Oryzias latipes: one gene and its partner. The protein of the gene in region 2 purifies or fractionates together with the protein of the main gene of each other region. This does not show direct contact. Links are inferred from orthologs where the notes say so. Each region holds a gene or a part of one and is shown on either strand. Other genes may lie near its edges.

Region 1 (4,245 bases), on a different chromosome or scaffold from region 2:
AATATCCTAATAAAACAACCAAATAATGATTGATACAGGAAGAAAATGAGTATCCAAAAATAACTTTTAAATTCTTTAATGTTTCTGCGTGTGTGGTGCTTTATATGTTTATGAAATGTTAAGGTGTCAATAGGTACGGTTTTCATCAATATCAAAAGGCACTCAGAAAATGCAGGAAACTGATAGGAAGAGGTCAAACAGACCCAAACTCACAACAATTTAATTGTGGCCATTAAAGGGGGTTTCCACTTACACAGTGAAAAATAGACTTGGAGGTATGAGATTGACAAAACAAGTTGCAGCAAGAAAGGCATTACGGAAACATCACAACAAAGCAAAAAGTCCTCACTGATTCAGGAAACACTGGACTACTGAAGACTGGAAGAAGCCTTCATAAATCGATAATCAAAAGTAAAAAATCTTTATTTCAAATTGTTTTTATGTGTTGTCAAAATGTGAAAGAACAGCTCCACTGTGTGGGACATCAATTGTGAAACACGGAGGAGGAAGTGTGATGGTATGGAGCTGTTTTGGGGTCAGTGATATAAATAGGGCAAGAGGCACCTTAAACCAACTCAGCCACCACAAGACTGCAGCGCTTGGGTGCTGAGTTGGTTAAGAGTTTGTACTACAACAAATGAATGACCTAAAACACAAATCCAAGCTTTGCCAGAACTACCTGAAGACAAAACAAGACGGTAAACTTGAAAACACGCAGGGGTCAGTCAGCACAGTCTCCAGATTGCTAGGAAGCTGGTTTGGGAGCAAAGAAGCTTACGAGCCCCAAAGAACTTGTGAAAATATCTATGAAAGAGCGTTCCTGAGGTAAGAAAAATGGTGATTTTGATTAAACTAAAGTAAATTTTGGTCTATAAATTAGTTTTGGGATTCCTTTTTTGTAGATCCAGCTGCTATCAAGACATTACACAGAATACATTTAAATAAAAAATATAAATAAGGTGCTCTAAATTTTTAGACCAATAGTGCTGTTTATAGATCTCTACAACAATTTTAAAAATAAAGTTTTTTCAAATACATTTTAAAATTATTTTATGATAAAGTATTTATTTTACTTTGCACAAATATGTTCTAAATATATTTTCAGTTCATCTCATTATAGGTGGATTACAATATTTTTGTTTTCAAATAATTTAATCCATTATTACTTTAAAAAGAAACTTATTTGACACTTAATAAGATTTTCTTTTTCTTAAGTTAAGATAAAAAAAGAAGTTTATTTTACTAAATAAGGCACTTAGAAGTGAACGTATTCTGGTTGGGCGGGGCGTTCAATTTTACTGCCGTTTCATTGGCTAAACTGTGACGTCACTTTGGCGGGAAAACGACGATTTTAGGAAGACATGCAGCCGGCATTTCACTAAACACTAGTTTACTGAATGCCTGGATCTTTGGAGGATCGGCGGCCTCCTCGATATCTCAGAGATGTCTACGTCATCTGTGTCAAAGGTGATATTTTCTGCTGCGCGCAGATCTACTTGAAGTCGTAACGAAAATAAAACAAGATGGCTGCGATATTTTTTTCTTTACCTGCTTCTGATTGTGCTGTCCGCAGGGATGCTTTGTTTTTAAGCCCAGTCCGAAGAAGAGGAAGAAGCAGGATGTCAGTCAGGGTGAGGAGTCTCAGTCAGTGTTTTATAATGGTTCCTAAGACTCTATGCTAACTTGTCTTTTCTTTTTTTTGTCCACACAGAAAGTTATTTTATTCATGACTGCGCGGGTCCGGAAAGCGGCCAGAGGCGATTCAAGCTCTGCCAGGATCTGTGGAAGCAGATCGAAACTGAAACTGAGGTAAGAAACGCTGAAGAGAGAATATAATTACTTTAAGTTTTAGTCGAAACCAAATTAGGTATCGACTTAGGTGCCTGATCAAAATTCAGTAAAATAAACAGGATTCTAACTTCTGAAATATAGTCAAATTCAATAGGCACTTTCTTTGTGATTTTATATTAATACGTATGAATTTGACAAATGATCTGCAATTGGACTGGTAAAGTAAAAATGACTCTTATTAAGTTTTGAACTAGAATATAATAAATATTTTTTTAAAAAGTCATGTAAATCATACTAGGGGTGGGATTATATAACTTTGCTTAATCACTCTAATTTTAAAGCAAAGATTTAAACCTTTTTTTCAGACAAACTTCACACTTAATGAATTTCATGTGTCATGTATTTTATCTATAAATACCAATGTGTATATTTTTGATTTGAGTAACTATAATAACATAATTTAGAACTACTTGTATTTTTTACTTTTCCAATCAAGTCACGATTAACTATCCAAAGTTTGATATACCCACGTATAGATATGCATCTCTTTGATTTTAATAATAAATAATCAAACAAAATCCGAGGTCTAAATAATAAATAATAAACAAATAGTTAAAATAACACAGAGAGGTGTAAAAACAAGAAATGTTATAGAAAATGACCATAAATATTTTTCAGTGAGGCAAAATAGTCCATAGGACACAATATATATGGCACTTGTATACATTTACAACAGTGTAGTGATGGTAGATGAGGCGTCATGTTGTATTTTGGCACATTCCTAAACCGTATTGATAATCTGTCAATACTGTGTCATTCGATGCAGACTCATGCTGGACTGAAAACATCACTGCAGGCTACCAAGTTAAAAAAACTAAACAGATATATACATAAACTAGTGTAAAAACAATATTTGTCTTTGTAGTTCCTCATTCCCATGTCTCGCTCTATAATGTCCCAGCATGAAGGAGGTAGTTTGGCAGTTCTGCTTTAACCTCCAAAACATAAAATGATTAAATAATAATTAAAAAAAGAGTCTGTTTGAAATGGATTGGTATTCTGCTAGATTCAGCATAAACTGAGAGGAACAGGGGGACCAAAAGCTAAAAACACTAGTAAAACTATGAAGAAATTCCACCAACCAAATAAAAACACAGCATTCAACACCGTTAGGGAAGATTTGGTAAAATGAAACATAATAAACCGGGAAACTGGACACGGATCAGGTGCATGAACTTTTTTTTCTTCTTTTTTCTTTTTCCTCTGCAATTTCTAAGTCAAAACCACCCAATTGGGTGGGAAACCGCAGAATCTGGCAACACTGCTGGTAGACGCGCTTCCTTGTTTGACTCCTGTGTGACACACACACACACACACACATACACACACACACACAGTGGCTGTGTTGGTCACGTGACTTCTCCTGAAGTGATGCGCGCACCAACAGAGGGTTTCTCTTTATGAGCTCGACACGTGAGCCGGCGCGTCGGTGTTGCCGGAACCATCACTACGCTTAAAAATAAATTCAAGTGAACCTTCTGGTCTTATTCTTCCTGAGTCACTTTTCTACTCCCAGCTTCACCTGACCTAAATCCTAAAGTCAGTGGGGAGGGGCTCCAAGCCTCAGGGCAATTGGAATAATGCAACAAAATCAATGAACAACCAAATGAAAAGAAAAACACCAACAAATAAATGATTTGATAACAACAAACTAGTAAATATGAATATCTACCTGTGTAAACAGGGATCCTAAGGTGGAGCAGTGGGCTTCTCCGTCTCTTCTCCCTGGAAGGCTTGGTGGAGTGTGCATTACTCCACCTTCACATATAACCTTCAGATACGTTTTTTGATGCTTTTTTTTAAATGTCATTTTAAGGTTTTGCAGGATGAACTCCATAGGAAAATCTTGGACAGCTTACTGGAGTTCAGCAGGAAGTGTTCCTCCGCTCGTTGTCACGGCGACTGGGCATCGCAGATGAGGGCCAGTGAAATTCCCACAGCTGCCCTCATGCTGGGTATGCGGCGTACATTCTTCAGGAACCAGCTAACCCGATAAAACCCCACTATTTTTGGCGCGGTTTGACGTTTCTTTGACCTGCTCTCCAGGTGTCAACGTTCCCGATCACGACCTGACCTTCAGCAGCCTCTCGGACCTACTCAGACAGTCTGTCACTCCTTATGTGGTCTCTCTGCAGGCCAAGGAATGTGGAGGTAAGAGCTGAATACTTTCATATACTTTCTCAGTGTATACAGTGACTCACCAAACTTTCAGTTACTGGTATATGGTTTTCCTGCTTGATTTTTGTAGCACTGAAGCATTTGTTGAAGAGGGTCCTGGAGGGATTAATGGAGACGGTTGTGGCTGTGGATGATGAGGATGAAGCCGATCAGGCCGCCTGTCATGTCCAGAAAAGTGTGCACTGTTCCCTCACAACCCTGTGTGACTGGTATATT
Region 2 (3,992 bases):
TTTGTTAGGTAAGCGTGTGCTTCAAAGGGAAACTTATCCTTCAAATTCCCGAAAAGCCCCCAAACTGAAAGTTTAAGGAAACGAATACTTTTCTTTTACTTCTGGAGACGATTTTAACTTCTGCTTTTGTTGCGTCCGTCCTCCTGCCAGCCTCTAAGAACTACATGCACAGCTGCATCTACCTGTGGAGCTGGAGCAGGACTGTGGCTCAGCGGCCGGACAGGAAGAGCAGGAAGGTGTGTGCGGTGATTGTGGCTGAGCTGCAGTGGGCCAAAACCGACATACCCTACCTGGCTCTCAACACCTGTCCTGGTAGGTTACGACCTGTCTTGTCATATCCAAAATACTTTAAATACTGAACACATGGCAACCTGTAACGAGAAGAAGCTATTAGAAAGCTAATAATCAGCAGAAGGTCTAATGTTGGCCTGTGTTCACTTCTCAGGACGTGGTTACATTGTGTGTGGTGATGAGAAAGGCAGGATATGGACGTACCACGCTGCCAACCTCCAGAAAAATGGCTATCAGACTGGAAAACCCATCCCGCCTACTGATGTAGGTGTCTCGCCTGTATGCCAATGCATGAATTATTCGTTTTGTGGGTAAAAATTTCTGTCTGCAAAATTATCTCTTGTGCTTGCAGCATAAAAAAAACCCCACTAAGTTGGATTGCAGAGTATGAAAATGACTTGAAAGCTCCCAGATGGTGGAAATAGTCTGGTTATAAACAGCGGCGCTCTAAACAAAGCTAAAAGAAAATCCAAACAGTGACCAGAATCCATTCCTAACATCTGGACAGTGTCCTCTGTTTAGCTGGGATCATGTTTTTATGCAACAGAGGATAAAACATGACATTTTTAAGCTGTAAAGCCAACCCAACTAATAATATTTTACATTTGATTGTTTTATCATGTTATTAAACTAAATACGTTCACAGAAAGTATTTCAGTTTAGCTATATGGTTAGATTTACTACTATTTCTGAGTCTCTTCTGGAAGAACTGTGGCCAAATGCTCACAGGGATTTCTTTTTAATTGTGGTACGATCCCACACACGACTGAATAAAGGTACAAAAAAGTCAAGCTAGCAAGAGGCTTGCGTTTATCCTGCCTTAACAAAGAAAAATGCTTTTATGTTGTTGATAAATCTATTTATTCCTGCAGCACAGCTTGATCAGAACCACTGTGGAAGCCTTTGCAATGGCTGTTGCTCCACTTGCTTTGACCTTTTTTAGGCATCTAAAATGTACTAATATTTCAGATGCTCTTGAAATGTGAGGTGACTTCTTTCTGTTTGCACAGGAAGTTGCAAACAAGGAAATGCACAGTTTGAACGGTTTAATTTTGTATGAAAGTCCCACCGAAAATGTGTGTGATAGAGAAAATCTGTCATTTCCCGCTGATGCTGTTAACAGGAGCCAAAAGGGTTTTACAAGCAAAGGTTCATGAAAGATTTCATCATTATAAGTGTATATTTATAGTTTGAAAGACTGACTTTTTCTTTCAGACTTGATCCCGATCAACTAAGAATAGTTCTGACGAGCCAGAAGATGCACTTCAACCCTCCTTTTATGTTTGTTTCTGTGAAACGGCACTGATGTTTGCGGGTCAATTTGACCCGAGGCACATTTAACTTCACAAAGACATCCAAAATTCGCTAAAAAACTTTGTTCATGTCTCATCATGAACTCCAATGCTAACCATTTCAAACAATATTTAGTTCGATGATGTTCTTTACTGTTCAATATAAATAATTCCTTTGTTTGTTTTTGTTTACAAAACATTTTAAAAAATATTTATGTACACTGAAAATGCTTACATGGTAATTACAATAGTTTACATGCAGTTGATTTTGTAAAATCATATATATTTAGATTTTACTAACAGTGTTGTTTAGAAATTAAAGGGTCAACTTGATCTGCTAACTTAAAATTACCGTATTATAAGCATGACATGAGTATTTCTATTGAAAGTAACTTTTATAGAATATATTTTGTAACTGATATATTATTTTTATGTTTGATTTATTAATCATTTAGTGATTTCTTAAAAGAAGAAATTGACAAAAAAATATATACAAAAGAGGAAACATAACATACAGGAGATGGACTTAACCCTCCTTTTCTTAGTTTCTGAAGAGTAACACTGATGTTCTTGGGTCAATTTGACCCGAATTACAATTAACTACACAAAAGTGTCAGAAACCAAAAAAGTCACCAAAAATGTTCTTTATATTTGTTATTACATCCTTTGTTAACCATTATACTTACTATTCACATATCATTGTTCAAAGAGACTCGTTTAAACAATAGCAATTATTATATATGCAACTTTTTATTTTACATTTTCTTTATGATGGCATTATTTTGATAAATTAAAATAAGACACCTCTTATGTTTAGGGTCAAATTTACCCACTAACCTAAAATACTAAAGAACATGTGAGAATTTGTGTTGAAAGTAACTTTTATTTAAAGAGAGAATACATTGTTTTCATTTCCATTTTCCAAGTGTTTCTGCATAAACAGACTTTTATGTTAAAATAAAGGACAAAACTAAAATACGATGGATGAAAAAAATAAAAAACAGTGAATATTTTTCGGCTTTCTTGGCTTGTGGTTCTATTTGTAAGCAAATTATTTTGATTAAGCTAAATATCCTCCCAAGATTGATGTATTTCCGGCTTTCATTGCAGGTGTTGGAGTGGCCGGCCCCAAGAAGGAAGGGCCTGGGCTCTTTGGAGGGCCCCTCCATTAACAGCGTGGCGATGGATCCTGAGCTCACTTACATGGTCGCCCTGAGTGACAAGAATATGGTCATCATTTGGAAGAAAGAGGAGTGTTCATGAGCATTTTCTGTGGTTGTTTTTAAGGTGAAAAAAGTTTTGTTTCTCTAACAATGTTCATATAGATTTTTATTGTTGTTTTCCCACCTGGAGAAGGGGAACTTCTAAGATGTAGAACTTTGAAATGTTTTTTTTTTAAATTGTTTTTTAAGACTGAGTTTGGTAAAAAGCTAAGTTTTAATTTCCCCTTTTTTAAATTAGAGAAATATACTACTGTTAAATATGTGAAAAGAAATCTGTGACAGTTGTTCTAAACTGATTTTGACTGACGTTAGTTCTCAACGAACCAGAATTTTGTTTAAATAATTGTGCTTGAGAATGTATTTTTACGGCTTTATCTCTGACTCCACAGTATTAAACTTCCTTCTGGGTTAAGGGAAAAAAAAGTCAAATATTTTTATTTTTCTTTCTTTCTTTTCGCCATGTCAGCTTTTTCAAAGCACCAGTTTCATCTAACTTTCAAAATACGAGTGCAGAGCTACCAGATAAGATCAAATCCAACCAAAGCTGATATTTAAAGATCGCAATATTAAAAGCACATTTTTGAAAAACTTGTTTGATGTGCTAATAAATTTAGATTCTAATGTATTTGCAGTGTTTTTTTAAAGAAAAAGACTTGAAATGTGATTGCTGGTCATAATTTATGTTTCAATAATAAAACATGCAGCAATCCAGCTTTATTGCAAGAAGTGAAAGTGCTTTAAAAGATAAAGTACTGAACATTCCCTTCTTTCTAATTATGATGAGCTCAAGGAAAAGTTGGATTTTTGCTTAAGAGTGGTCGAACTTTTTGTGCGGCCATAAAACCTACCTTTTTAAATAAAAATGTAAAGCTTTGTCTTAAATTATTTTAAATCAGTTTTTGATGAAAGAATTGTTCCTTATTAGTATTTGTAAAACTGTATCTTTGTTGCAGTATGGAAGTAATCACTGCCAAATTTGATAAGCATTGACTAATGTATTTATTCTTTCCAGTAGTGGCAACGTCATGGTTTTTTTAAATTAAGTAGTTTAAAAGGTAATTACTAAAGTGTATTAGTTCCTAAAAGTACTTTAAATAATACTTTTGAAACCTTTTTAATAAAATGCTGTATAAAAAAGTGGATTAGATAAAACAGCCAGGCTCATTTAGTTTTTTTCTTTTTCTGC

The links. The genes of interacting proteins can lie anywhere in the genome.
Region 1: the proteins of lrwd1 (region 2) and orc3 purify together in Homo sapiens (affinity purification with mass spectrometry; 4 studies listed by BioGRID and IntAct, with this or other methods). This does not show direct contact. The link is inferred for Oryzias latipes from reciprocal best matches to the Homo sapiens genes LRWD1 and ORC3.

The regions. Positions count from the first base shown.
Region 1 is NC_019880.2:10,107,277-10,111,521, reverse strand, and holds the start of orc3 (origin recognition complex subunit 3), read left to right. Parts: upstream 1-1,320; 5' UTR 1,321-1,443; coding exon 1,444-1,467; intron 1,468-1,573; coding exon 1,574-1,631; intron 1,632-1,711; coding exon 1,712-1,809; intron 1,810-3,667; coding exon 3,668-3,806; intron 3,807-3,897; coding exon 3,898-4,002; intron 4,003-4,099; coding exon 4,100-4,245. UniProt on the Homo sapiens protein: Component of the origin recognition complex (ORC) that binds origins of replication. DNA-binding is ATP-dependent. The specific DNA sequences that define origins of replication have not been identified yet.
Region 2 is NC_019872.2:25,220,883-25,224,874, forward strand, and holds the end of lrwd1 (leucine-rich repeat and WD repeat-containing protein 1), read left to right. Parts: intron 1-150; coding exon 151-312; intron 313-445; coding exon 446-555; intron 556-2,693; coding exon 2,694-2,846; 3' UTR 2,847-3,427; downstream 3,428-3,992. UniProt on the Homo sapiens protein: Required for G1/S transition. Recruits and stabilizes the origin recognition complex (ORC) onto chromatin during G1 to establish pre-replication complex (preRC) and to heterochromatic sites in post-replicated cells.